Drosophila melanogaster: one gene and its partners. The main gene of each other region encodes a partner of the protein of the gene in region 3 in a complex. Each region holds a gene or a part of one and is shown on either strand. Other genes may lie near its edges. The genes, in order: me31B, exu and cup.

Region 1 (10,109 bases), 3.6 Mb from region 3:
GAAGCATCGAAGCCGATAAACGTAAATGTCATACAAAATAGTCAAAACTCTCTCGAATTGCGCAGCTGCAGTTCGCCCCATAACTATGGTAAATACTTCAAATGCATGTTTTAACGCAAAATTAATCAAACGCAATCGTTTCAGGTTTCGGCAGAGAGAGATGCGATAGCTTACCAACCAGAAATGGAACCCTAAGCGAGTCCAGCAATCAAACGTACTTTGGTTCCAACCATGGACTGCGATCCAATACTATATCTGGCATCCGTCCGCACTCAACCAACAAGCATAGTAATAGTCCAACGTTCACCATGCCATTAAGATGCTCAGAATCCGAAGAGTCATCAATTAGTGTCGATGAATCCGACGACAACGGCAGTTTTAGCCACTACAGATTAAAGTGCGTTGCAATCAAATAATAATTATTTAATAATAATCACCATTTCAATTTCTAGCACGCGGTCATCGGAGACGGCAATTCCTGAGGAAAACATTGATGACTTTGCCAGTGCGGAATTATTTAGCAAAGTCACCGAACAAAATGGTAAGCCAAACACAAAAACAATTTTTTAACATGAAAAGTAGCTAATCAATTGGCTTTGTTTAACTGCAGTAAGTGACGAAAACTACATACCGATGAATCCAGTCAATCCTACCGATGCTATCCATGAAAAGGAGAAGGCTGATATGCAGAGATTGGAAGATGCTTCGCTGCATTTCAACTTTCCGGAGCACGCGTCGGAAAAGCTTGCTAAGGATTTTGATCTGGACTCTGATAACCAGTGAGTACACATTTCGCTTCAACTGTGCCACGTAATGCAATCAATCACATCTTGTTACAGATGCTGTCGTCCCATTCGCGCCTATTCGATAGGCAACAAGGTTGAGCATTTAAAGTTTAATAAGCGCCTGGGACACTTGAATGATACGGGACAGAATCCGAATCGCGTGCGAGCCTACTCGGTTGGCTCCAAATCGAAGATACCGCGCTGCGACCTGCAGCGAGTGGTCCTCGTGGAGGACAATAAACATGAGTTCACAGCGAATAGGAGTCAGAGTAGCATTACCAAGGAAGGAACCAGCTATGGCAGCAGTGCCAATCGACAAAAGAAGTCCACAAGTGCTCCACTCCTCAGTCTGAAGAACCAGATAAACTCCGACCGAATGAGTGACTTAATGGAAATTGATTTTTCACAAGCAACCAATTTGGAAAAGCAGAAGTTCATCAAGAATAATGAAATTCCGAAATACATTGAAAACGTGTTCCCAAAAGCCCCGCGAACGGATAGCTCCAGCCTAACTCTGCACGCCACAAGTCAAAAGGACATTTTCAATGGCACCAAACTAAATAACACTGCGATCACATCCGAGGATGGTTACCTCGAGATGAAGCCAGTCGGTAATGGATACACTCCCAGTTCGAATTGCCTGCCAATGAAAGTGGAGAAACTCAAGCTATCCGACTATCAGACAGCACCGCCACTCACCGCAACAGCCGCACCAGTGCACGATTTAAACAAAATTAGCACATACAATATATCCGCTGAGAAATGGAGAGAACAGCCCAGCAGAAGCGAGGAAAAGAAGTCGAACTCGCCATTGAATGACAACACCTTTAGCTCGAAACCCACAAATGTCGAGAGTACAAGCAAAAGCCATGATGTTCATTCAGCAAATCAAATTGATTGCGAGAAAGTGTGCGCGCAGAGCAGCGATAAGCTAAATAATCATCTGGCCGACAAGATTGTCGAGAACAACAATTTGGATATAGGCGGGCATGAGGAAAAGAAGTTGGTTCATTCGATAAGCAGCGAAGACTACACACAAATCAAGGACAAATCGAATGATTTCACAAAATTTAACGAAGCCGGCTACAAAATTCTGCAAATTAAAAGCGACAGCTCACTCATCTCATCGAAGCTATACCAAAAGGGTATACACAAGGATAACTTGGAGCGTTCGCAGAGACTTACAGAGAGTGTGAATACGATTCCCGATAATGCCACCGCCACCGCGGTGAGCAGCAGCTCACTCACCAAATTCAATATAAATTCAGCAAAGCCAGCCGCCGCCGCCGATTCGCGTAGCACTGGCACAGATCCAAGTACACCACAGAACATTCTACAGATTAAAGATTTGAATTTCCCCTCAAGGTCGTCGTCTCGCATATCCCAGCCGGAGCTGCACTACGCCAGCCTAGATCTTCCCCATTGCAGTGGCCAAAATCCAGCTAAATACCTGAAGAGAGGATCACGCGAATCGCCGCCGGTGTCCGCATGCCCGGAGGATGGGAATACCTATGCGAAAATCGACTTTGACCAATCCGACTCCTCTTCCTCCTCATCGAACATATTTAATACGTAAAGTTTTGAAATTTATGACCCTATCCTATATATATGATTTGTTTAATATTGTACATTTATTGTAAATATTCTGACAAGCAAAGCTTACAATTTTGGATGCTAATAAATAAATTTTATTTAAATTATAATGATCCCTTTGTACTTTTTTTTTGGAATCTAGTAAATCGGGTAATTGCCAATGGTAATTCTTCCATGTAAGTAAATCTAGGATTTAGCTTGATCCAAGTGTACTTCTCTTGTCCGAAAATCCTGTAATTACTTTTAGACCTTTTATTTGATTTAAACCCTTTACTAAAAACTGGATTGATATTAAACGACCTTAGCCTGCCTTTTAATAGCATTCGACTAACTTTCCTTACCAAATCCCCAATAGTTAATGTTAATACTTCTCAGCACCAAAACCCACAAAGTGAACGAGCCTTTTTTTTATAGACCAGTCATTTCAGTTATCTTAAGAGCGCATTTAAAAATTGAATTGCTTTCCATTTATTTAATACAATTTTGATTTCTGAAATAGTTCATCTGTTTTTATTGATTCCACGATTTAGACTCTATTTCAGATACTAGCGTTACACAGGGCATATCCGTTTTATTTGCTAACGTTGCCCTCCTCGTTCGCAGAATTATTCAGATCACTGTTGTTGCAAGTATCGCCAACGGATGCGCCAACGTTTGCGACATAAAGGGCGGGGTCTATGACCTTCGGAATAGGCTTTATTTCGGTTCCAAGTTCTTTTTCAATCCGATGCAGATCAAACCGATCCTCGTAGGTTATCAGATTAATAGCAATACCTTAAAATGAGAAACGAAGATTGTAAATAGGCTAAACTATAATATGAGAATGCAATTAAACTCACCCAAATGACCGAAACGTCCTGAGCGACCAATTCGATGCAAGTATGTCTCTGCCATTCGTGGGAAATCGAAATTGATTACTACATTCACGGCCTGCACGTCGATACCACGGGTGAACAGGTCGGAGCACACCAGATTGCGACAGAGTCCTTGGCGGAAATCGTGGAATACTCGATTTCTGTGTGCCTGGGCCATCTTAGCGTGTATATAGTAACAGCAATATCCAAGCTCTGTGATCTTTTTGGCCAATAGCTCGACACGTTGCGTGGAATTGCAGAATATGATAGACTGATTGATCTGCAGCTTCGAAAAGAGCGTATTCAAGCAGTGTACTTTCTGGCGCTCCTGTACGAATGCATAGTACTGAGTGACACCCTTCAGTGTTAGCTCCTCCATCAGGTTGATCTCGTAAGGCTCGCGTAAATGCTTCTCCATGAAATTCTTGACTGTTAGTGGAAATGTTGCGGAAAATAGCAAGATCTGTGGATCCTTTGGTAACTTTAGTATAACATGATCCAGCATGCCTTGAAAATCAAGCGACAATAGCTTATCGGCCTCATCCAAAACTAATATTCTGCAATGCGACATATCGGCAACTTTCTTATCCATCAGATCTAATATTCGTCCGGGAGTGGCAATAATTAATTGTACTGCAGGCGTAGGGAAAATTTAGAAAGTTGCAATTAAACCGATATTAGGTTATTTAACTATCATCAAAACCCACCTTTTTGATAAATACGAAGAATGTCATCCTTTAGAATGGTACCTCCCGTTGTGACCATTACCCGGATATCAAGATGTTTCGCCAGCTCAATACATATCTGTGAGGTTTGTAGCGCCAACTCTCGGGTGGGGACCATCACAAGTGCCTGAATGTAGTCCTTGGTTGGGTCGATTTGTTCTAAAACTGGGATGCAGTAGGCTCCTGTCTTGCCTGTGCCGTTCTTGGCCCGAGCCAGCACATCTTTTCCACTTAATGCTATAGGAATAGCTGCTTCCTGAATTGGCGAAGGGCGCTCCCATCCCTTCTCGAATATACCCATAAGCAGTTCTCTTTTAAGGCAAAACTCCTCGAATTCATTGCCTCGCGTATCGGTCACATCCTGAGTAAGGCAATGGCAATACATTTATTTGTTAGTTTGTTTGTGCTTTAAATTGTATAAATTCCGATTGATTTGTCGGCAAACTCACAGTTGTTTTGAATCGGTTGTCCTTTGGCGGCAGCTTCAGCTTTGATTTCCAGCCCATATCGTCACTTGTGTTTCCAGCAATTTGAAGATCATTTATAATCCTGGATGAAAAGAAAAAAAATAAAATGGTAATTAAAGTATTACGATATATGTAGGTCATTCACATCCATATATATATGGATGGCATATATAAGCATATATATATATTAAAAATTTTTGATTTTTAAAATTTTGTAAATGAGTTCTTTTATGTAAAGTGCATTTTAAGCTAAAGTCTAAGCCATGTATTAATGTATATTAATAATAATGTTAATATTGATTTTAAATCGTAAACAAAGATGGATAATGTCTTGAATATTTAAGAACTGAACAATCTAAAAGCGATTGAACTCAACATTTTTTCTCTTTCGCACATTTATGGAGGAGAGAAAAAGAAACGCTACTCCAAATTTTAAAATGGCAGCCCACGAATAACTGTTCATGGCGCTGAAATGCAAAAAAAAAATACCTGTTTTGTTCTGATCTCAAAAGTTGAGAATCACCCAATAGAAGTTTTACCTAAATACAGTGTTAGTTTCTAAATGATTTAAGTCAGTGCAATTATATTTAGCAACATTTTTAGCGGTAAATAAGTCCACGAGTGCAACTACATATGTAGATAACTCTTTTATACATATGTACACATGTTCCGCTACTACATACAATAAAGTAATATAAATACGGGAATCACATTGTTTGGTTTTTTTCATTAGATAACATGTTCTGCAGGTTTAGTTGTTGAGTGAAAACAGCCTAACTACATGATGTTGCTAAAATACAGATCTTCGGCTTTTACATGCTCAATCATTTGCAAAAATTGACGTTCTAAACTATAAAACGGCTTGTCTTTTCGGCATCTAATCATAAATATGGGCTGATGAATACGCATGCATATTATGTTTGTTGGGACACCAAGCTTGGGTCCTCTTGTGAAAAAAAAAATATAAATAAATATAAAATATACAAACCCCTTGCTTGTTAAATTAGTGTGCCCAGAATTTAACTTTTCAGTCATCATTATTCACAGTGAAATTTTAGTTTAGTTTGTTTAAAAAATGTATTTCGCTCTCTTTTGCTTTCGGCTGACTAATGAAGTCACTGTATTCACCGATTTTCATATACTGCTCACGTATTCAACTTTGCGTTTCAATATAAAATTTCACTTAGCTTCAAAATAGTCGAGTCGCCTTACAACATGCTATCAATAATACAAATTTCTGATGACTCGGAAAATATTTTCACTCGGTGTAGATAATAAATATGTATTGCCCTGATTTGGAACGTTGGAATGAAACAAATTTTGCAAGTTCAAAATGACGAACAATAATATTGTAGAAATTTATACATGGCTTAACAAAAACAAATGAACGTTTTAAAATTAGTCCACATATTTAGGCAAGAATTATTTTATTTAAAAAAAATCGGCATTTAAATTTTCCTCTTATAAATCCTGTAGGTGTATATGTATACCCAAATATTTCACATTTTTGTTGTGTTAGCTGCTGTTGCCGTTATTTTAAATTTAAATTAATTTAGAAAAGCATTTCCAATGAGCAACTCCACTCCGGCCGGGTTAAAATCACCGTTTAATTATAACAAAAACAATATATGAACTGCATTTCAGATGAAGCAGCTGCCTGTGTGAACGGGACTTAGGAACGACAGGAAGATTTCGAACGTGTATGAAAGAAGAACATCTGAGTTAAGCTTTAATTTGATTGTCTGCGATTTTTATGAATATCTTTTCATTTATAATTTATAAGTATTAAATATTTAATGAAAGATCACATTAGAAACTAACTAATAACATTAAAATGAATAAAAATTATTTTTTTGATTTTTCTTTTCTTAACCAATGGATTTATACTTTATTTATACTTATTCCGATTGGAGAATGACAAAATTAATATATTTGTATTAGAATAAATAAATAGTACTTGCGATAGAGGAGATTTGTATATTATAAAAATGACATTTATGTTTGCGATTTTAGTTTGTGTCATGAAAGAATATATGGAAAAAAGTCAGCTAATAACTAGACTTAAGTTAATTGAAAAGATAAATACTTGCGTATCGTTGACATTTTCCAGGTGATTTATGGTGCGTAGAGTACTTAGACGATTAAAGGATCCATTGCTTACCTCACCCACCTCTGTACATAAGTGTGTATGGATGTGTGTATCTGTGTACCTTATCAATTTCCCCTTAATGAGCTTTGCACAATGTTAACACGAGCAGTCGCATTTGTCTTGCCGTCAGAAGCTAGTGTACAAAGTCATCAATTGAATTGTGTAGATAGATAGATATGTGTTAGAACCACAAAGTACCTACATAAATATGCGGCCATTTGGGTGTATTGATACCATCCGTGAGCACCCCCAGCATGCTAAGTGTTAGGCACTCCATGGGGCATAACTTATTTGTATAGGCTTACGAGAATCCATAAATGTATTGCCTATATACGTCGAGCTATGTCCGTCTGTGTGCGGGCCAAATGTTTACCCATAAACATTCGCATTTGCTCGCGAAGGAATCGCGAAGACTTCAGTTCAGTTCGTTAAATCCGGCAACTGCATGCGGTTCGAAGTGTATATGGTCCGATAACGATTCCTCAATGATAAGATATGAAAAGTCCGTTCTAAGAAAAGATACAAACATTACACAAGCTCGCAAATCGGTCATTGGGTATAATAGACGAGCCGTAAACAATGAACATCGGACTAAGTTTAGTGTGCCTGATTTTAAGTGGCATTTCAAAAGTGCTCGCCGTTCAGTTATGCTGTGCCGCGAATTCGTTACTATTCAAATATCGCCGCACTGTGGACAATGCGGAAATATACCAGTGCGCTTCCGCCGCAAGCAACATCAGTGAACTTCCGGATCTTGCCCAAGTGATAGGCAAATTGATACCACCAATGGGCCTTGGATTAGAAAAGGCTATCAATGACTCAGGCCACAGCCAATTCGCACTATCAAAGTGCCAGAACTTTAGCAGTCTGAGTATAAGTGATTTAGGTGAACGCACCTTGAATTTGCGAAATAACTCATGCATTGGACTATTAAACAGACGTCTCATCGTTTTATCTTGTGAATTCGAAAAGAATGTGCCGTCTCAAAGTGTTGGATTTGTAAACAAGTGCTGCCCACAGGGATTTATTTACGTTTCCGAAAATAATACATGCAAACCGGGCGAAAGCGATTTCTTTGTTTATACTTCCATCATCAGCAGTCCAATTATATTTTTTGATAACACCCTAAACTGTTCCGACCACAGAGCACTCGTGGAATATACGTTGTCCTCCGGAAAAGTGCACTTTCATAATAATTCGTTGATTTGGAAAGATGGAACCAACAGTTTGCCCAGCTCCAAGTTTTGCATCGAAGCTATTCACGACTCCGACGATGCGGATTTGGATAGAGGTGCATTACCGGAACAGAAGTTTCTGGTGCGTGCTTGTCAGGAAATGAAAATTTGCCAAAAAATACCCTGTATTCGTCGTTGTTGTGCCGAAGGTGAAATGTATGCAAAAGGAAATTTCAGTACCTATTGCAAGATCGATGGAACCGATTTCAAATTTGAGGGTTTTCAGAACCTAAATATCAACGCAAACTTCTCAAAGCCCTCAGGTATGTCGTCACCAGTTTTGCAGTTATTTTTATAGGTCTTTATAGCAGGAAACGAGCGGCAATTGAACGCAGTAATCGCCCATTAAAGTCGTAAACTTAATGATCAAAAATATTATTAAGAATTGGAAGCAATCGATTTTGATGTTTTCCATTTGTCTGATCAAATAAGTGGTATAAACAATTGGTTTCAAGTGCCAAGCAAATTTCGCTATTGAAGTTATCTACGTCATTCATTAGTATTGACATTTTTCATTAGCTTTGTCATTTTAATTATTTTTGTCAAATTTTCTTATCTGGTTAATCAACAAGTGAATGACACATTTGCCTTTTCATTGACATAGGTCAGATTGTATAGTGTATTGTATTCAATACTTTTCAGATTTCGGTATTGTTCACGGCTTGCAGTGCCCAAAGTTTCGCTTGGATCCTGATAATTTTCCAGACGATTCGCATACGATAAATCCGTCCAATGGCTCGCTTATCATTCATAACACATTCAAAACCTATACGAATACTCAGTACTGCGTGGAACGGGTCAGACCCAATCAAAAGGTAAACTCCTTCCTATTTAAATCGACATATTTTATACAGTAGTGTCTTGTATAATCCTAATTATTTGCCTTCGTTCCTTTCAGAGCAGCTGTATACATTTTTGTGCTTTGATAATAAGGTGGTGACCGGCGACAGGATTCGCTTCAAGATGTATCCCATTGGCCTGCTCATATCCTGCTGCTTCTATGCACTCACACTGATTGTCTACATTTCAATTGCCAAATTGAGAAACCTGCCCGGCAAAATCCTAATTTGCCTCGTTAGCAGCTTGTTTGCGGCATATCTTGGAATCGCGCTGGGCCAATTGCGACCCACATCGAATGACGACATCTGTTTTCTTTCTGGTGGGTATTGCAGCCATTAGGTAATTAGTTGCTAATCCTGCTGGGACGAGGAGACCTACAAGTTATTATACCATAAAAGCGGGAAATCGATAGCAATCACTTTTATTATTACATTCATAGTTATACTCGTCAAGTACTTAATTGTTTAAGGGTATTTTGTCTCATTCTCTTGTGCAATTTGGTAACTAAAACCTAAACAAACTGTTTCTGTTTTGTATCTTGAAGGTTTTTTCGTGTACTTCTGTTTAATGGCTGCCTTTTCTTGGATGAACATTACTTCCTTTGACATATGGAAAACATTTGGGTAAGTACAAATGCTTTTGAAATTTAGATAAACTTGCAATAATTTACACTTATTTAATTGTAGATCAACAAAGCTTAAAAGCTGCGAAAAGAGCGACCTGAGAAGGCAGTTTATTTGGTATTCGTGTTATGGCTGGGGGCTACCAACATTGCTAACTGGAATAACCATAGCTTTTACGAAATCTGACATTTTACCGGATGCGGTGCGTCCAAATTTTGGACATGGTCGTTGCTGGTTTACGTGTAAGTTAAAAATCTAATTAAATTACGATTTAAATATTAAAGTATTTGTATATTTTTGTATTAATTCCAGATGATTCTTTTGGTTCAGCCAGCTTATTGTTCTTTTCGGGTCCAGTTGGCATACTTTTCATTATAAACTTAGTTCTATTCGTGCTCACAATGAAGTATTGCAACAAAGTAAAAAATGAAATATACAAAATGCAGAGCTTGAACAGCGACAAGCCAGTTTTGAAAAGGCGATTCTTTCAGGACAAAACCAGATTCGTTATGAACACGAAACTGTGTTTCGTAATGGGCATCACATGGCTGTTGGAAATAGTTAGCATTTTGTTTTATGATCACAAGAAAACGTTCTTTTGGACCATCAGCGATTCGTTTAATGTGCTACTTGGAATCTTTGTCTTCATTATATTTGTGTTTAAGCGCAGAATTTATAACGAAATTATGTTTAAGTTTGGTAAGTTTCAGTGGCATCAATTAACTGGCAGTTAGTTGAATATACTACATGTAATTTGTATTTATTTAATCTTTAAGGTCTGCAATCAAATCCGAGCACTGCATCGACTAGAACCCGCGCTGGCGTGACCAAATCCTAT
Region 2 (10,465 bases), on a different chromosome or scaffold from region 3:
CCAGGTGGGTCTGCACCGCCCTGCAGCTAACCGAATTCAAGATCTCGACGAAGCTCAACATCTGACCACTGCGGGCCGCTAGGTGAAGGTTGTTTAGCTGGGAGAAACGTAGACGCGGCTCGTGGGGAAACTTGGCCCGGATCTCCTCGGAGATCTCCACCAGCATTCCGTGGGCCATGTTGAAGTAGCCGAAATCGGGCGGATAGCCGTCGTATATGGACGTATGTGCCTCGTCTAGAGGCGCCTCTTCTGCGGGATCGACGTCCATTCTGGCCGGGAAATGGACGATGCTGCACTGATCGGTGATCACTGATCACCAGGTATGGGTATGGAAGCAATCCACACAGGCCCACTCTTTCCAGGCCAGGCGGCAATACGGTCACACCTAGCGGTGCACCTGCGAGAGTGAAAACAGTGACTCGGCGCGATAGGCTGACCGTTAGTTTATCGTTCGTTTATTCGCGCCCTTTGCAGATATTACATATGTTTGTTGATTCGTTAGTTTATCGTTCGTTTATTCGCGCCCTTTGCAGATATTACATATGTTTGTTGATTGTAAATATGAAACATATATGAAATACAGCTTGAAATACTGGATATGTTCACAAGTGTTGGGTTAGATTAAGTGTGCGAATTGAATATGCTTTCTGTGTGCGTGCGTGTGCGTGCGTAAGGTTAACTGTATTAGATTGGTGTATTTTTATATCGTGCTTTCTTTAGCTTCAATGTGAAAGTTTTCTACATTGGACCAGGCCTGGATCTTGGGTTTTATTCATAGAGTTTTGATAGTGTGCGTCGACAGGCCCGTCCAATGGAAAATTTTCATCGAGGCGTTTCGTTTTGGATCATATTTTCCCAATCTCCCATTTGAGTGCGGCGATGTGCATCGGTTCGCCGGGAAAACTATGCCTAAACGCAGCGAGTTCTTAATTGTACATCATATTTGTTGTTCCTTCTTCTCCATCATTATTTCTAGCATACGCTGCTTTAAAGTGTGGATATATAGTCTCTTGAGTTTACAGTGGGCTCAGCATCCTCCCTATGCTGGACAATATAGTTTTCAAACGTCTCGATTAACAATTCACTCGTTTCAAAAATGTCGCTTGAAGCTTGTGTCATCACTATTCAACAGTCACTGTTTACGTCACAGTCACGGTTTACTCACACTATCGATACACCAACGTGCTCGTGAGTTGTGCGCGGATGTGTTTGTTGTGTTCACGGGAAATTTGCTTCCACTGGAATTTAAAGCTTGTCTGCACTAGATCTTCTAAAAGGAAGAAAGTTCGTATGTGGTTTAAATCTCCATTCTCTGCCCTTGTCTTCTTGTGTTTTGATCATCCATTTTTTGATATACTGAAATGGCAAAATGTCGGTTAGGAAACTCAATCCCGAAAATCCCAAAGTGATTTGAATGATTAGCTTAAGCGTTGTGAGTTTATATTGAAAATATGTAATAAAACCTTTTACATTTAGCTAAAAAAGGCTACATTTTTATCAATATATTTGATGCATAAAATTCATTAAAAATACAAGCAAGTGTACGCAATTCATAAAATTAATCAACAATCTACATGAAGGCTTACCCCTCGTTAACTACGTTATCTACAAAGCAAATGGCAGAAGTATCTCAATATAAGATATTTACTTTACGGATCCACCAGAACTGGATTTTAGTTGGAGGCCGTGATGGCCACCGGTGTCGGTGAGGGTTGTGCCACGACTGGGCTTATGGTTACGGCAGGTGGAGCGCTATTGTTGAGCTCAGACACGCCTGAGGAGGATATTTCAGCAGCAACCTTGAGTCCATTGGGGGTTGCACCCAAGCTTTGACGCGAGTTGCGCTTACGGTGCATACGCGGCTTGTTTGGCGAGGGAGTCTTGGTAGTAGAGTCGGGCAACGAGGAAACGCTGCGCGACTTGTCACCTCCTGCTCCAAACTCGGTGCTAGCCGATGGGGAGCTGGATGGCCTAGCGTCCTTCACCGATTGGCGGCCGCCGCGTCGATTGCGACGACGATAATTGTTATTATTGTTGCTGTTACCCTTGACAACCGGCTTCACCGTGGTCTTCTTGGGATCGAAATAGCTGTCCAGAAGCTCGAGCAGCTCCGCCTTGTCCTTGCTCTTTAGCCGGCCAATTGACTGCAGGGCTATGTCCAGGCCCTCGATGTTTTTCTCTGCCCAGATGGCACTTAGCGTGTTCAAATCGAACCCATTCTCGGCCAGCACAATGCGGAACTTTACGGCACGCACACGATGGTACAGAGTGGTCTTGAAGTAGTTCAGGAACACCGGACGGAAGGAGTTTTGACGCTCCAAATTTTCGATCTGGATATCCAGCTCCAGGACATCGGACACCACCAACTTGGCAAACGGACGTATGGCATTAAACATATTCTCCAATGCCTCCGAGCTTTTTGGTTCCGGCTTGCCGTCGGAGTTGCTCAGCTGAAGGGCCACATCAAAGGCCAATTTGGCACGAACACTGGCATTGCCATCAAACAGTTCCCGCTTACCCTGAACGGCGTTCTTGCTAGATTGCTTATCGTCACCATTGGTCACGGTACTGTCCCTGGGGGATATCGATACCGAATCGGACACCATACTAGATCCAGATCCCAAGCCAGATCCAGATCCAGATGTGGACGCAGAGCAAGCCGCGTCTTCCTCCTTGGTCGTGGACAAGATCTTGGAAAGCTTTCGCAGACTGTAGTTCTTTATGTTGGCATCGCCAATGGAAGCCTTGGCCAGATTGATGCTGTTTGCAAACGACTTCACCGACGCGGTGAAGCGCTCCAACAGGCCGTACTTCTTCAACGACTCCAGGATCATGTAGGGAATGAACTTGCGCTCTTCATGATAGATAAGCACAATCCCGTCCGAGCTGGGACCCGCCTTGGTCTTCAGTTGCTCAAGCCAGTTGAGGAAGTCCTTGAGGGCAGCGATCTCAGACTTGGATTTAATGATCTGAGAGGATATTGTATGTTGAATTGTGGATGCTTCAATACTTGACTGCCACTATTAAATGGACTGGACTGCACTGGACTCACCTTATAAGTCTGCATCGACTTCAGCATACGATAAAAGCCAATCGAAATAACACGAACTTGATGACGCTGGCGAGCAGCTGGATTCAGATTCATATATGGCATGATGTACTGCTCGAAGTGGTCGGTGGGTGTATAAGCGGCCAGCTGGACAATCTGTGGGTTTATCGCAAGTGGGGTTAGGACCGAACGACGAACGATCTAACGGCAGTCAGGGGGTATTACCTCATCCATTAGACGACGTCCAGTGGTGTCGATATCCACGCCCACCAGGATATAATTACCGGCCGGCAGCTCAACTTTATCGCCCACGGGCGACGAGGATTGATCGGCGACGGCAATGGCCACTCCGGCATCGATGTTATCGGCAACCATTTTCTTATATGATCTGCGAAAAGCAATCTAGAAAATTCGGATAACGAAATTAGCTGAGTCACTAGAATTTTTTTTTTTTAAGGAACCGATTTCCTTTGCAAAACGCGAACCGCTTTCACTAGATTTTCGATATGAAGTGACGGGCTACGAATTTTCAAGAGTCTATTAAACCCAAAGCTACAACTAACGGTTTTCTTCCAGTGGCGCCATCTTTTACACAGATGTTTTTATGTGTATGTATGTATGTTCACTTTCACCACACTTTAGCACTTTTCTTTTGGGCTCACCTTTATTGAACTCCTTTTTCGTGTTGGTTTCGATGGGCTCTTTCGCTTTTTACGAACTTTTTCCTTTATTTTTCAAAAGGTTAAAGCGAAATTTGCTTCTGTTCGACGAGCTTTCACAAATAAGAAACAATTCGTACGACTAACTAAAACGTAATGAATAATTTCCTGATGCACCCGACGGCCTAGGAAAAGTGCGCGAATTTGACATATGCAAAGCCTGCTAATCGAGGTTTTTGACTTAAGTACGATGGGTTAGACAGCTGCAACTCGTCCACATCTTGCCACAACGCCCACTGTGCAGGTGAAAACTTTTTGCAGAATATTTTTACCGCTGCTATAATAAAATATAGTCTTTCAGCTTGTAAATAAATTTTTTTCCAATTATTAGCCGGCAAAATTGGTGGGTAAACAACAAATATTTGGACAAAAGCGCAGACAAGAACTGATAAGAGGATCAGGGATGACGAATTTCAAATGGTTGCGCCAGAGATGACAGGGTATCGATATCACTATCGATAGACTTATCGAAGACGGCTTAGCACTTATACCTACTCTGCAGCCCTGGTCGGCAGAAAAACAATAATCAGCTGATGCCATCGCTTATTTCCAACAATTTGCACCGCAAAAGTGAAGAATTACCAAGCAAATAGATCGCCTGCCGACCGAATTATGCTGCTGTAATCACCCAAGCACACAACGGTAAAGATAAAACCAGGCGAGATAACACCACGCACAGGTGCCACAACATGCTGTCCTACATAAAGCGCAAGCTCTCCGAATCCGACAGCGGCGTCAGTTCGGTCGCAACTGTGACGTCGTCGTGCGGCGGCGATAGTGGGAGAGCGGGCGGAACGGGCAGCAGTGAAAGCGGTACGGGCAGCAGCAGCGCCAGTATCAGCGGACGCAGCCAGAACGCCGACGAGTTAGTGCGCAAAACGAGCCAGATGTCGATGGATGATGAGGCCATTGCCTTCGGGGAGGACGCACTGCTCCATGAACTGGGCTACAAGAATCAGACGGAACTGCAGGAAACCATCTACGGTTCGATATTTAATGGCATTCTTTTTCACTTTGGCCTAGTTATGTAATTTCTCTTGTCGTTACACAGATCTGTTGCGCGGCATTCGCGATCCCGAGAAGCCGTGCACTTTGGAGGACCTCAACGTTGTCTACGAGGATGGAATCTTTGTGATGCCGCCCACGCGCTCCAATGTCTCAGTTGTACGTTACTCAATATCTTTATAAGCCATAAGCTTGAGCCCTAATCATCATTTCATCATAAGTTAAATCTGCGCGTGTGTTTATTTGCTTTCATCACTATTGTTGCTTAATATTTGAAAGGATTAACGATTTAGCTTCAAAATGACTTTAAAATTGATCTCATAGCTTAAAGTACTTGTATTATACTAAATCCACACCTCATAAATCTTTTGTGTAGTAAAAAGTTGAAATGCATGGTATTTGTCTCTTAATTCTTTCAGGTTCGCATCGAGTTTAACCCCACAGTGCCACATTGCTCGTTGGCCACGCTTATTGGACTCTGTATACGCGTGAAAGTAGAACGCGGACTTCCGCACAACATAAAGCTAGACATATACATCAAGAAGGGAGCGCATCAAACCGAGGAAGAGAGTAAGTTGGACCAACCAGATACTATTATCATACATATGTGTTCTAAGTAAAAATGATTACGTTTCCCCAGTTAACAAGCAAATCAATGACAAGGAGCGCATCGCTGCGGCCATGGAGAACCCCAATCTGAGGGATTTGGTCGAGAACTGCATCAAGGATGAGGAGTAGCTCTCTTTGCCATATCTTTTGTACATAGGGAATACTTTGAGGAATGTCTAGGATTAAGTGTACCATTAAGTTGCATCAGGGAGTGTGTGCTTAGCATTAAAGCCCTTAAAATCTGTTAATCGCTCGGCCGTTTTGATTCCACCAGAATATCGATTGCTCAACGTCCTATCTATTTTCCCGCCTATGCTGCTTACTGATAAGGTCCCCCGGGCCCAACAACTCTCATTGTTTACATTGTGCCGAAGCGATATGGCCGTCGGACATTCGGCCCAAGAAAACCGTGTGCACATCGGTGTCATGGCGGGTGAATGAATCTGAATCGCAATCGTATCGATGGGCCGGCCATGTTGGGCACCAGCCAGACGGCGTGTACGTCACACGGATTTATCAGCTTCAGAAGAGTAGAGAATGTTTGGGGCGTAACGCAGGGTAATCACCTGCCGTTGGCGCTGTTAAGTTGAGTGCATGACACACATTCGACTCAACTCGACTCGGCTAATTTCTTTGCAACTCTCCGGTTTCAGTGAGCACTTTGTTGCCATGACTGTCGCTGTTTCTGCTCCAATTTGCATTTCCGGGGTTTTCCATTTGTTAAATTGCACTGCACTTCCGCTCATTTCGCTCTTACTGCTCCCCCCACCAAAGTGGCAAGCCATAAATATTAAGCAATATCAATTAGTTGCTTGCCATCGCGCTCAAAATGCTTTAAACTAATTTCCAAAGACTTAGGCAAAAAACATCCCCACCAGCAATTAAAACCATCTGGCGCTGCGAACTTTTTGCCATGACACCGCTGGCCAATATTCACGGAATGGAAACCGGACCAGAGCAGACCCTTCGTGCCCCTAAGGCGTGCCGCGTGCCTCAGAAGGCGAGGGAAAAATAATAAAAATGAATGCGCAGACAAAAGCATATTGCGAATATTACGCTAATTGGCGACTGCAATCAAAGCGGACCTCGGCCTGGACACGTCGGCCGAAAGGAATAGGAGTGGCAGACACTAGCTTCTCCCAGCCTTCCAGCAGCCGTGTCGCCAGCCTGACCATGACCGAAGCCATCGGAGAAGCTTGTGCCCCCCAGCTCCACCACGCGGTTTTCAGGTGAACAGTAATTGGAGGCAGACTGGTCTGCTACTTGTTATCAATCTATATTATGTGGATATCCGTATAAAATAAACACTTTAAAACCAATATTTAAACTGATTACATTAATACATAATAGTTGATAATCATAATTCTTGGAATAGATAATGAGTAGAATCCATTTAATATGAGCTACTGGAGTGACACCTTTAATAACCACCGAAGAGCACGTGAACAGAGACTTGGGACACAGCCATAATGACTCAGTTGACACACCGGCAATGGCCCAGGAAGGAGTCATGGGAGATGATGGCCTGGACTGCGACAGAATTTTATGTGCGAAAAATGCATAATTTATTCTGTTAATGCATATGCATTTAAGCCGAGCCAACAACTGCAGCAATTCCCCAGGATTTGCTGACCGGCAATTGTCATTTGTGCAGCGGTCAAAGTGACCCATTTAATCCCGTCCTGCAGTGCCCGCCCAGTGCCACGCCCCTGCTCCCACAACCCCCGGGTTACATAACCCCCGAGTACATAAGTAGGCAAATGCAATGAGTCCGACTCCAAGTCACAGTGGCCCGAAGACGAGGGGCACAGATTGCGGCCACCGAGATTTCCTTCCGATACGCAATGCTGTTAAATTGTATGCCATTATTATGATTGCCATCGTGACGGCGGGCATCCGGGACGGAGTGCACAGGATGAGGATGCCGGAGCCACGACCGGCTGTGGAGTTGCATTCACACATTGTTCGCCCGATCCGGGTCTCTGCATATGCCATGTATTTCATTATGGGTCCCACATACGCATTTCATGCCCGCCGGCTCCTTGGATTGCAGCCACTGCAGCCTGTGCGGTTATGCCGTCTTTTCCGTTCAGATTGGAATTCACAATCGGAGTCAGAAGAAATGAATTAAAAACCGTAGTGCAGGTTTAAAGGAAGTTAAAAGTCATTTTAGCAGAATTAGGTATGATTAAAACTAGGCAAATAACACTAAAAACTCTTTTGGAAGCTCCAAACCAAAGCTTTAAAACGCATCTAATGAGTACTTTGTAGTCGATTCCCTTCGGATTGCAGTTCCTGTTTTTATTTTTCAGGTGGCTTACTGCGCGCGTTGTTACAACCAATTGTTGTAATTGTTCGGGCCATGGTAGTGTTGGCCTGTAGCTCCTTAAAACCGGAAGTAACACTCAATGGCGAAAAACCGCCCACGGGCCAACGGGGCGTATGCGCATTATGCAAAGTCCTGGTCAGCGGTGAATGCCTTGCCACAGCCAGAATCTGCCGCAAATGTCTGCTGGAGCAAGGGGGGGGGGAAAGGGAGTGGTGTCAGAGTGGGGAACTTGGCCATTCAGCAACTGACAACTTACGCATCAGCAGAAGCAGGGACAGTCATGCGGGGATGATGGCGAGATGACTCCTGCTTTCGGCCATCCGGACACCGGCTGAGCTCCGAGCTCCGTCTGAGCCGGAGTAGGTGCAGTTCAGGAGGGGACCCCCTTGTTCGCGCGCTTGTAAGCCATTTTAATTGCTTGTCTCTTTTTAATTTTCAGCTCTTTTGTTATACTTCACCCTTTGGCCCAACATCCCCACCTGGCGCATGCATTTATCCCCATTCCCGACTACATATATACATATAGCCTTTGTCTGAGTCCTTTCTTGGCCTCAAGTTGACATTTTCGTTGGCCATACTGTGCTGACTTCTGGCCAAGAGGTCGCCGTCCTTTGGTTCCAAGCAGGCAAAGGGCCTTTTGCTGTTGACCATTTGCCATTTGCCGGAGCTAACGAACTAATGTTAAATGCACGGCAAGTGCCATTTGAGCTTCCGCCAGCTCATTGGCCAGAAGACGCCTGCAACAGCAATTAACAAAGGTGCAGGACCTCCTGCTCCACCTGCTCCCCCTTCTATCCTTGCAATGGACAACAATGGTTCTGCAGCCGGATTCGGAATGGTGTCTGATGGCAGCTAAAACGTGTGTAATCAGAGCATAATTGTCTAAAATAGCTTCACATTTGCTGGCTCCCATGGAATGCAGCGTTTGTTTGTCCAGCTCGAACCACCCATCGAAAATCGATTAGGTTCTCAGGCGAAATGGAGCTTAAATCGTTTCGTATAATTACTCATTGAAGGGTTTGTTATAGAGAAACTGTCATTTAGTTTTTAAATCTTCAAGATGCAAACAGAGATTTTTGCACACATTTAAATCCCTTTCTTTTTTTTTTGCTTAAATTAATATTATACAATTTAAGCTTGAATTTGCAATTCTCGCCATTAAGTTTGCAATCTAATTAGAACATAAATTAAGTAAGCAAATAGTTTAATTACATTTCTACTCCGGTTACCCAACTAATTAAAGGCTTTATGGGTTCCTACAATTTCATTGTGGTTTTGCATAACAAACTATACAAAGCACAAACAATTTTTGTAGTTCAACCAAATTCAAGCTTGTAACGAAAATATTTAACATGCTATATTTTGGCACAAATATTTATGAAACTACAAAACCGTTTATACACGCTTTTCCATTGGGTATATTTAAATTTTCGAAGCGCAATATCTGAGTAATTGGAGTTTTGAAAACTTTCGAACTGATTTCTATTCCCATTGGTACACTATTGCACACATCCGATGTGATGGCAAAATTGTTTAATCTAAATTCATAACGTGACACAAACAGTGAGCACAAAACAACAGAGCACAGATTTGGCTGACATTTTGCCTAAATAATTGATTTTGGCCCCCCCTCGGAAAAGCAGAAAGAATTGCAGCCATGGACGATGAAAGCTGCTCGCTAAGTGGCGTGGCAAATAAAATGATTTAAATATTCAAAACAGCACTCGCAGCAGCCCCAAAACCACACCCCCTCCCCCCATCAACTACCATTCAACATGCAACAATTTTTTGTACGCATCGTAAAAAATACAGCGGAGCGAAAAAGTTTAAATTTCTTTTACGGCCCAAAACCGACTCTAATCCACTTTGGCGGACAATTTTCGGCCGACCGCAGGCGAAAAATAAATGAAATCATGAAATAATAAACTAAATTAGGTGCGAATTGTGTTTTGGCCAGTCTGACCTGTATTGCCCCCATTTATATATGTATGTAAGTATATTCACATGCCACTAAAACAATTTTGCAGCAAAAGAGGCGTAAGAAAAAACAAGAACTTTCGCTCAATAAATGTGTCAAAAACATGCATGTGCTGCGCTGGAGTATACAGATATACAGATGTAATTATAATAAAATAATTAAATAATTTAATGTCAAGACTGCAAGTGTAACAAGTTCTTTAGTCAAACCGAAAACAACAACGAAACTAGGCTACTCCTGCTGCATTTACTCCTGGATTCCATGACTCCACCCATGGTTTTTTGGGGGTGGCGATGGGTGGTTTGAAAATTATTATTGTGGCATTTGTATGCCAACCTCAGGCTCGTATATAACTTTCATTATGTTGTTCTGCTCACACACAAACTTTTATAATAATTTGCGCAACAAATTTGAAATTGTAATGCCGACTCATTAGAAAGTTTTTCATTCGAATTTGTTGCCTTTGCGGCGGCTGCCATCGTCTCCCTTTTCCCTTTTTTTCCTTTTTTTTTTTTGCTGTCCTGTTGTTTTTCCATAATATTTCTGTATAATTTTTTACTCTAACACACTCTATAAAATTGGTTACACCAAGCAAAAGGCAAAGGACGAGTGTGTTTGTGGCTTGCAAACCGAATCTGTGCCAGAATGCGCTACAATCAACCGGCTTATCAGTTTCGTATCTTCAATCTTTCGCTATTTGAAATGCTTTTCAAATAGTTCTCTTTCACATATTAATCCCAATAATGTTTAGATTATTGAAATAAAATTTTAAAATA
Region 3 (9,499 bases):
TTCAGTGAGTTTCGACGCCATTTGGCCTCCAGCTGATCCACCGAAGGCATCTGTCCGATGTGGCCCAACGATTTGGGCTGCTCCGGATTGTTGCCATGACCCTGGTTAATGGCCTGCTTGAAAAACTCGTTCAGCGAAGAAGACGAGGAGTTCCCCTCATTGGCAAAGAATGACATGAATTTAGAGTTGTTCGTGTTTGTGTTCGACTGCTGCTGCATTTGCTGAGGCTGCGTTTGCGGCGGCTGTTGGTGATTAACATAACTGCTACTCTCGTAATTCTGTTGGCTTTGATTGAACTTATCAAACTGAAACGAACGGCCACTGCCTGGGCGTTTCTCTTCCTTTTGTTGCTGATGCTCGGTAGCCATAACATTATTCATGTTCTCCACGTTATGATTATTGTTAGTGTCGTGTTTGGGCATGTATTTGCTTCGACCCATCGGCTCCGCATGCGTCCATTTGTACTTATGGTCCATCTGAAACGAGTTATCTTATAGATTGCGTCATGGATTGAACTAAGTGCATAATACTAACCTTTTGTTTTGACGTTTCTCGCTCTGTTTCGCCTAATCCGTGGTTTTTGTTGCCCTCCTTTAGCATTTTCTCCTCGTCCTCATCGAACCCACACAACTCTATAGTGTCCAGTCTAGACGTGGGTCCACAGCTAAACCACTCAGGCTCCTCGTTCTGGTTCCTGTACCGCCGGTGATGTCTATCCTCGACATCTCGTGACTTGGGCTTCGATACAACCAGGAATCCAGACATTACGCGCTTTACATAGTTCTCGTTGGCGCGACTCAAATCTTCACTGGACTCGTTCGAGTGCAGGGTGTCGTTCTCGGATCGATTGATAGACATCCCCATCACAGGAGTGTTCGGCCGTCTTTGAGGCTGACTGCTGATCTCGCCGTTGTCGAAGAACTGCAGCACCGTCATGTTTTTGCTGTTCTTCGAGTTGACCTCCTCCATATGCTGCGACTTGCCATTGTGGTACGAGTGGTAGTCTTCGTCGTTGTAACCCCACTTGGAATGGTTTAAGCGACCGCTGCCAATGCGTCTTTGGTTAACAATGGCCGGATCCTGAAATAATTATTCGAATATCTGTAGATTTTTCCATAAAACTTTAAAATTCTCTCGGCTATCATATACCTCTTACTTAGCTAATAAGTTTTAAAGAAATTAGATTACAGTGATTGCAATATAGCTGAATAGACTTTAGGAAACAGTTTGTTCCAATCACAATAATTAGGCAAACAGATACTGCATAAAATATAAATATAACTATACTTATTTAAACATTAAACAGCCATCTCTATGGACGTCTTATCGACCACCGCGCATCACTAGCGGCACACACAATCGCGCTCACACTGTTTACACACCCATATCAGAACGCCCAGCTGAGTGGGAGAGATAAGGCTGATGGAAAATTCTTCCACTGAAAGGCGGAATGCGTGCCAAACTCAAACTAAACGCTCGCCGGCAGAGTGAGCGGAATAATCCGAAGAGAGAAAAGAGAGGAATGTAGCTGAAGAAGCGCGCTTTGCTAAGCGAAAAACAGCTCAACTGGAATCGGATTCAGAAGCAAAAGCAGAATCACAATCGGAACACCAATATCAGCAGCATTAGGAGCTGTAATCGCAACGCGGCAGGTTGACATTGGGCTTGTCCCGTGAATCTGAAGTAGTCATAATCCGATCGGAGTGATACGGAGCGCCAGTCTTTCGACACGATGCAGTTTGTGGCCAGTGGTAGGTTTAAAAGAAGTTCCACCATGCCAATTTGATTCAGTTTCTATGGCGAATGGTCATATGTTGATCAACAATTAGTTCCAAATCAATGGTCTGGTTTATCGCTGCTCAATCTTAATTAAAATCGAATGTCATTGCAGAGCACCCGCACCGACGTCTAAATCCGTTGAACGGCCAATGGGTCCTAGTGTGCCCACATCGCACCCAACGCCCTTGGTCGGGTCAGCAGGAGAAGGCGCAGAAGAACGAGCTGCCCGAATTCGATCCCACCAATCCTCTGTGCCCTGGCGTCACCAGACCCAATGGAATCGTAAGCGACCAAACTAAATCCTCGCAAATGTTTTAAGCATTCTCACGTGTATATTTTGTAAATGATCAGCAAACTCCGGAATATGAGAGCACCTATGTGTTTGAGAACGACTTCCCGGCCCTGGTGGAGGTGGTGCCCGTTCCGCCCAACAACGATGATCCACTGTTCCAGATAGCTCCCGCCCGTGGCAACTGCCGAGTGATGTGCTTCCATCCCAAATCGAATCTGACTTTGCCCACGATGAGTGCAGCGGAAATCGTCGTTGTTATCGACGAGTAAGTGGAGGATTTATGGTTTATATCAGAAGATACTCAAAATAATAAACCCACTTTTTATCTAACTGCCTATCTAGGTGGATCAGCCAGTTCAACGAGCTTAGCGCCAAGTACGCGTGGGTGCAGATATTCGAGAACAAGGGAGCCGCCATGGGGTGTTCCAATCCCCATCCGCACTGCCAGATCTGGTCATGCTCGTTTCTGCCGACGGAACCGCAACTGAAGCAGGAGCGTCTGCGTGCCTACTACGCCACCAACGAGCGGCCCATGCTGGCCGACTATGTGGAGCGTGAGCTGCAGCGCCAGGAGCGGATTGTCATTGAGAATCGCGACTGGTTGGTGGTGGTGCCCTTCTGGGCCACTTGGCCCTTCGAAACCATGCTCATCTCACGCAACAACAATAAGCGGATCAATGATCTTACCGCAGAACAGCGATACAACTTGGCGCTGACCATAAAGGAGCTGACCACCAAGTATGACAATCTGTTCCAGTGTTCATTCCCCTACTCGATGGGTTGGCATGGAGCACCGACTGGGCCGGAGCATGCCCACGCATCCAGTGCTCATTGGACCCTGCACGCCATCTACTATCCGCCGCTGCTTCGTTCTGCCTCCGTGCGCAAGTTCATGGTGGGATTTGAGCTGCTGGCCATGGCCCAGCGGGATCTGACTCCCGAACAGGCAGCCCAAAGGTTGCGGGAGGTCGATGGAAAGTGTCATTATCTAGAGAAGTGATTTCGCTCGAGGGTATTTGTAGAATCCCAGATGGTTTAGAATTCAATAAAAGGAAATAGTCTAATACGACTGTAGTAATTACTTCATACTTATTCGCAATCAGTTGTAAAATGTTCTAGATTAGTGATTTGACTGTGGCGAGGGTCCAGCCAATGATCAGCATGATTGCCAAAGACCTCTGGAGGTCATGCAATGCAATCATTGATTTATCAGATAAGCTCAGGAATAATGCGACTTTGTGTTACCTAATGCAAAAGTGGGGAAAATGTTCTTAATCGATTAAGCGATTTTTTCTAAGCAGAAAAGGCGGGAAATATGATTTTTCATAAAAGAGCTTTTCTGAGCAGACCAAAAAGACAATTTGGCCTACAAAGGAAGGGGTATCAGATGGTCGAGGTACTCAAATGAATCGACGCCATGTGTAACTGTAACAATTACCGCACTGTCACAATCACTTTTTCCTTTTCAAATCATAAGTTTTCCATTAAGCTAACCAAGTCTATTTTATATAGAATATATGGCAAAATTGAGTAGAATAGTATAAGTTTAACTAGCTTACTTGGAACTCCGTTTGCGGCTGGGGCGGTTGGCTCTGGATGATGGACTCGTCACTGATTAGGTTCGGCTTATTTTTGTTTTTGAAGAAGGCAGGCATGCACTCATTGTTGTTGTTGTTGTTCATGTTTAAGTTAGCTGTGGTGGAGCGGGTCCGGAATCTTGTGCCGTCCGAGGTGCGCCAAATATTCATGCGGCGAAGCCTTCCCTCCAACTCAATGTCGTCGCAGGTGGCGATGCGAGGCATCACAAAGCTCTCCTTGGACCTGTGCATCAGGGCATTGAACATCCCGTTGCGAATGTCCATCAGGCGGGAGCGGGTATAGCTCTTGACCGGCTTGCTGCTGACCACCGGAGCAGTAGTAGGACGAACAGCCTTGGGTGCTCGCAGACTTCCTGGCTTGTGAATGCCTGTGCTGGGTGGACGCTTTTGCTGCACCTGACTAGACTGCTGCTCCGGCACGGCCTCCTTGCTGGCCACTTGCTTCCGCGGCGAATCGTGCTCCAGGTCACAACTAACGGCCGTGCAGGACAACATGCTGGAGGGCTGTGTGTACGGTGTGGATGCTCGGGCCGAGAGAACTTGCAGGGTCAGACCCTCGTCCTCGTGCAGATGCTTCGAGGGTCCATGCATCGGAATGGCCTCCCCCGAAATGGATTCGAGGATTTGATTCTGTTTGGCCAGTAAATTGATGATCTTACAACGCCTCTCCATCTCCACAATAACGGCGGGCTTTTTGGTCTGCAGCATAACAGCCGTGGATGTGGATGCCAACATGGATCCATCGCCGATCGTTTCTGGGTTTGAGCGCCTGGGTAACATCTCCAGGGCCACCACATTCTTGTTTTTGATGGAACGAGAAGACTGTTTGCCAAAATAAAAACAACATTGAAAAAACTTCATGATATATGAGAGTGCCTGTCTGTACTCGATGTAAAATAAGTGTCGAATATATGAATGCCAAGTCAAAGTTTCTTTAACTAAATTTTTAACGACATTTGTATCAGAGCTGCTCTGATTCCTAATACCATTTACGTGTTTAATACTGTGCTTTGTTGGCCAATAAATATTGCGAAGATTTTAGACTAATATCAAGTTTGACTCAAGAAAAGTTAAATTTAAAATGTATTTCAATATAAATATATAATCTGACAACAGTGTGCACTGCTAATAATAAAATTAAAAATGTTATATGTAATGAACTCACCTCAGGGCTGGCCTTTAGCGTCCGCTTGTTGGCCTCCAACTTGGTGATGGCCTTCTCCAGTGCGTCCTTCAGCTTGAAGGCGGGCAGCTTGAGGTAGCCCAGTCCGGTGGCCAGGAAAGCGCTAGTCGGCAGCGGAGGAGGCGGGGGCGGAGCGCACGGATCCTCCCACTTCTCGGAGTTGGCCTCGTCGTCGTCATGCTCTTGACTGGCATTCAGAGCGGTGGCCTTGGTGGCTAGCGGAGCCTGGACTGGAGTTGGTGGCGGTGGAGGGGGCGGGTACTCGAACTTGCCCTTCTCAGCGGGGGTCAGCACCTCATCCTGCTGATCTTCGACTGGCAGCGGAAGCTGCTGATGCGCTGGACGATCGGTTGCACCCGCATTGGTGGCAATTTTCAGGGCGCCAGCGCCATTTTCTTGCTCAGCTTCGGCCATTTGCATAGCATGGCCATTCAATTCGATCGCCTCCTCTTTCATAGGGTCCATACTCACTAATTGTTGGTTTTTTTTTTGGTTAAAACTTAAAACGAGTACTTTTGATCGGGTCAAATATATTGAAATGTATGAGAAATTGAACGAAATCACGTTTAGCACAGGTTCGTTCGATCTTAGGATCCGTTATTCGGCGCTGCTACGATGAGTAAGCAGGACAGGAATAGGAAAAAATACCGAAAGCGAATGGTGGAAGATGGAGGATGGATTGACCAGTGTTGACAAACACTGATCTGCGACTTATACAGCTTTCAAATAGTTAATTCTTTGATTCCTAAACAAAACAGCGAATTTATTAATAATGCGCTACGACATTTACTTTTGACAACAGAAAGTAGCTAAGCCTGGAACGTGATAACTTTGGAAACTAGTACTTGTGATTCTTAAGATTTCGATTACATAAAAGCCGTTATTCTGTTACAAATTTAAAAAATTAAGTGCAAACGATTTTAACGTACTGTATCTTATTATTTGACAACTATACATATGAATATAGCGGAGCACACAAACCCAAAATTTAAATGAATTTGAGCCAGCACTTTGGCAGAAGGGTGATCGCCGTGCGACACCCGTGGCACCAACTGGGTGCAATTCGTCACTCGTTCATGGAATCCGGGAGGGAGCTGCTGGATTCGGGGCACCGCTCGGGCACGATGGCAGATGGTAACCGCGGGTAAACCTCCACATTATCGTCCACTTATCCAACTCCCAATACCAAGCACAGTGGCGAAGAAAATCCGTGAGCACGTCGGCGTGGAAGGAGGCTACCACATCATTCCCAAGAGCCGGGATGGACTGCTCAAGTTTCAGCCGAAGCAAGACGAACTGCCCAATCGCTCCATGCTGGACTCACAAACGACTGCCCAGGTGCTCCTGGAAACAGATGCTCTGTTGAGGCAACGATTCGTTTACGGGCGAGGCTTGCTTCGCATGGGCAGGATAATTGAGGAACTTGACCTTCTTGCAGGTAAGTAAGTAAAGTATACTAACTAACTACTCCAAATACCTGATTAATGAGAGTGGCCTTGCAGTGTGGATCTGCCATCTTCACATCCATCTGCCCAATCTGCCGGAGGGTGTGCCGCTGCCATACACTTTTATCACCATGCTGGTGGACCACGCCCACTTCTTGCAAGACAAGTTTATTGCGGATGCAGATGTGTCCCTCTCCGGTCACGTTTCATATACGGACAATAACTTCATGGAGGTCACGGCATATGTGCGACAAAGCGGAATGTTGCTGGCAAAGGGCATTTTTGTGGTAGAGGCTCGCGATGCCATCAATAATGGCCCTGCTCCTGTCAATCCTCTGGTGCCGGCCAATGAGCTGGAAGAAAGTTTACACCAGGAAGCGCAGAAGCGGCACCAGGAGCGTGCCAAAGCGTTGTATCGCCTGGAGTCGCAGCAGCCCACCAAGGAGGAACAGCAGCTCATGTACGAGCTATTTACCCGAACCAAGGGCGATGACGGACCTTCGCCGAGTGATATGACTACTCTACCACCGAATTCCCGCTGGATGTCCACGTGGCGCCGCAGAACCCTGATGCATCCGTTCCCGGAGAACCGAAACGAATCGAACACCATTTTCGGAGGGTTCATCATCCGCAAGGCTATCGAGATTAGCTACATGACAGCCTCCCTCTACTCCAACCAGCGTTGCATGATCCGCTTCATTGCGGACGTTACGTTCGCCCATTCCATTCCCGTCCATAGCTATATAAAACTGAAGGCGTACGTGGTTTTCACCCACGAAAACTACATTCAGCTGCTGACGGTGGTGAATGCAATCGATGGCAATAGCTTTACGGAGCTTAAGTGCAATGTGCTGCACCTGACCTACTCCTGCAGCAAAGCAGTTCCGGAGATCCTTCCCAGAAGCTATCACGAGGCGCTGTGGTACCTAACTGGTCGTCGCTACTTCAATCGATTCCGTGAATCAGTAAGTCACGACATGGACAATGGATCTGCCGTAGAAACCAATGGAGCGAAAAAAGACAATTAGAGATTGGATTTAATAAAACATATGCTGTCGATTTGCATTATAGATATTTTCATTTGATGAATTAATTGAATATACACATTTTTTCAGCGAAACGCCGTTTATTTAAACATATATGTAAACATATTGTGAACACAAAACCAAATATGACTACAATAATTTATCCTTTGCATGTTATTCGTACACATTGTTTGTTAATTAATTCGGTTGACAGGAAAAAATGGATTAAGAATACATTTTAAAAACCACTAATTATAAAACTGCACATACACATACCACCATGTATGACTGGAATTCTTATGAACAAAAAAACATTGATTATTGCCCTAACAACCGAATCCCCGTGGAGCTAACTCTTTGGTTGGGCAACTGAGCCAGCAGCTGCGGGTTCGCTGCTACCTCAACTGTTCGAGCGGGCCGCCTCCCGCTTGCCCTGAATCCAGCTCTCAATTTCCTGCTTCAGAGCCTCGTTGGACTTGACCTTATCCATGGTGAGCGGTTCGCGGTTAAAGGGATCGGTCTGATCGCTCAGAAGATGACGGGCGATGGTGGAACGATCCACTGTTACCTTGGAGCTGGGCAGCACCACAGGGTCGGTCATAAGCGTTGAGATAATCGGATCGAGGTACTCTTCCGGCGCATCAGCCAGCAGCTCCTGCTCCTCCTTGTATTGAGCACCCATACGCGCTACCTTCACAGCAAACTCGGACATGTCGCCTATAAGTTGGCCGCCTCCGATTCGGATCAGGATGTTCTCGGCATAGCTGAAGAGCTGTTCGCTGTATGAACGTCCATCCTGCGATACGGCCAAACAGAAGCTCTCATCGGAGCTTAGGTTGATGTAGATGTGAGAGATCTCGATCACCGTCTGAGCCGGATCGAATTCGAACTCCTTCTTGTCCTTTACCTTGAAGCGCTCCTTCTTTGGGCCAACCAAATTCAGCAGAAAATAATTCAGCATGGCTGCCATGCGATCGACCATGCTGTTGTGGCAGAAAATGCTTTTGATTTTCGAGGTGAGCAGCTTGAGGAGATTTATGGTGTCCCTACCGATAATGTTGTCAAATCGAGCTAGCATGCCCAGGTGCTGGAGGTTCGTCATGTGCTGCTCACGCTCAGTGTGCGGTAGGCTTTCCCACTCACCATTGTCCTGCGCCTGCTGAAGCTGTTTGATCTGCTCCAGATTGGACAACGACTCGTCCAACAGAAAGATGGCATCATTGATAAGCAGATTAATGAAGCGCAGAAATATGGGCGGCTCAATGGCATCCATATTCTGCTCCGCTTCGACTGCCAGGTCACGAAAGCACTGAACGTGCTCGGGTTTGGTCCACAGGAACTCCATTATAGCGTACATGGGCCGGCGATAGTTGAATTTTTGTTCGAATTGCACTGACTGTCCAGTCATCTCAATGCTTACGAAAACGTTCAACAGGCTGCGCACCACCTTCAACCGATCCGGATGGTTGTCGAAGACATGGCTGACAAAAGTCTTGCGATGGCTTCCCATAATCCGTGAGGGCAAGAGAAATTCCAATGCTTCAGCCAGTTTGGCCCGAAGGTGAGGATTCTTGACCAGCGCTGAGCTGCCCATGAATAGAATTATCATCTTGAAAAAGGCATCATGGGCAGAGAAATATATATTGATGTATTGTTCGCCGTTTAGTTTCCGGGCCGCATTCAAAAATGCCGAGATGTTGTCGATAATGCTCTCTGGCACCGATTGCATATAGGGTGCCACAAAGGGCGGTGTGTCTGAGAGCAGCTCCATGTTGCGGAAAACCTGTGGGGAAAAGTCGCGCTTGTCCAGGCACTGCTCGTAAATCTCACGCGGGAGCATGGCAATCTCAGTGAGCCAAATAGCCGAAGCTTCGAAGAATTTCAACAGGTACATGTCATTGGTGGGCTCGGCGAGCGTGTTCTTGATGGTCAGCACTTGCTGTATCTGGTCCCTTATCATGCGAAATAGGTTTTTGGCCACCTCGCTATTCGGATCGCTGTTCACGATCTCTCCGTACGCCATCTGCGTGTTTTGCAGCTCGCGCAGCACCCGAACGAAGCGCTCAATGCACGGAATATTGGAGAGCTCGAAGCATTTGTGTGTCATGTAGAAGATCTCCGTCACGAAATTGTACTTTTCGGCCGTCAAACGCTCCTCGCCCTCTTCGCTGGTGAGC

What was found.
Region 1: cup (region 3) and me31B share a complex: the UniProt entries of both Drosophila melanogaster proteins name them as parts of the nanos RNP complex.
Region 2: cup (region 3) and exu share a complex: the UniProt entries of both Drosophila melanogaster proteins name them as parts of the osk RNP complex.

The regions. Positions count from the first base shown.
Region 1 is NT_033779.5:10,234,889-10,244,997, reverse strand, and holds me31B (maternal expression at 31B), read right to left. Parts: upstream 5,658-10,109; 5' UTR 5,463-5,657; coding exon 5,413-5,462; intron 5,060-5,412; exon of another isoform or gene 4,914-5,059; intron 4,507-4,913; coding exon 4,407-4,506; intron 4,319-4,406; coding exon 3,940-4,318; intron 3,866-3,939; coding exon 3,218-3,865; intron 3,153-3,217; coding exon 2,950-3,152; 3' UTR 2,826-2,949; downstream 1-2,825. Other genes in the region: chico, read left to right, coding at 1-88, 145-397, 453-541, 611-779, 840-2,361; mthl15 (methuselah-like 15), read left to right, coding at 7,153-8,071, 8,451-8,623, 8,712-8,967, 9,193-9,271, 9,335-9,513, 9,584-9,970, 10,048-10,109. UniProt on the Drosophila melanogaster protein: ATP-dependent RNA helicase which is a core component of a variety of ribonucleoprotein complexes (RNPs) that play critical roles in translational repression and mRNA decapping during embryogenesis, oogenesis, neurogenesis and neurotransmission.
Region 2 is NT_033778.4:20,666,927-20,677,391, forward strand, and holds exu (exuperantia), read right to left. Parts: upstream 3,836-10,465; 5' UTR 3,712-3,835; exon of another isoform or gene 3,710-3,711; intron 3,566-3,709; exon of another isoform or gene 3,452-3,565; 5' UTR 3,425-3,451; coding exon 3,275-3,424; intron 3,206-3,274; coding exon 3,053-3,205; intron 2,970-3,052; coding exon 1,674-2,969; 3' UTR 1,649-1,673; exon of another isoform or gene 1,426-1,648; intron 1,357-1,425; 3' UTR 501-1,356; downstream 1-500. Other genes in the region: Fem-1, read right to left, coding at 1-268; galla-1, read left to right, coding at 4,458-4,752, 4,820-4,932, 5,193-5,343, 5,414-5,511. UniProt on the Drosophila melanogaster protein: Ensures the proper localization of the mRNA of the bicoid gene to the anterior regions of the oocyte thus playing a fundamental role in the establishment of the polarity of the oocyte. May bind the bcd mRNA.
Region 3 is NT_033779.5:6,659,923-6,669,421, reverse strand, and holds the start of cup (cup), read right to left. Parts: upstream 5,759-9,499; 5' UTR 5,273-5,758; coding exon 4,835-5,272; intron 4,492-4,834; coding exon 3,631-4,491; intron 3,159-3,630; exon of another isoform or gene 3,072-3,158; coding exon of another isoform or gene 2,414-3,071; intron 2,337-2,413; coding exon of another isoform or gene 2,131-2,336; intron 2,062-2,130; coding exon of another isoform or gene 1,892-2,061; intron 1,752-1,891; coding exon of another isoform or gene 1,733-1,751; exon of another isoform or gene 1,389-1,732; intron 1,081-1,388; coding exon 535-1,080; intron 477-534; coding exon 1-476. Other genes in the region: Galt (Galactose-1-phosphate uridylyltransferase), read left to right, coding at 1,733-1,751, 1,892-2,061, 2,131-2,336, 2,414-3,071; CG13771 (uncharacterized protein), read left to right, coding at 5,845-5,986, 6,048-6,290, 6,355-7,325; Ube4A (ubiquitination factor E4A), read right to left, coding at 7,723-9,499. UniProt on the Drosophila melanogaster protein: Adapter protein that plays a central role in localization of transcripts in the oocyte and in young embryos. Maintains RNA targets in a repressed state by promoting their deadenylation and protects deadenylated mRNAs from further degradation.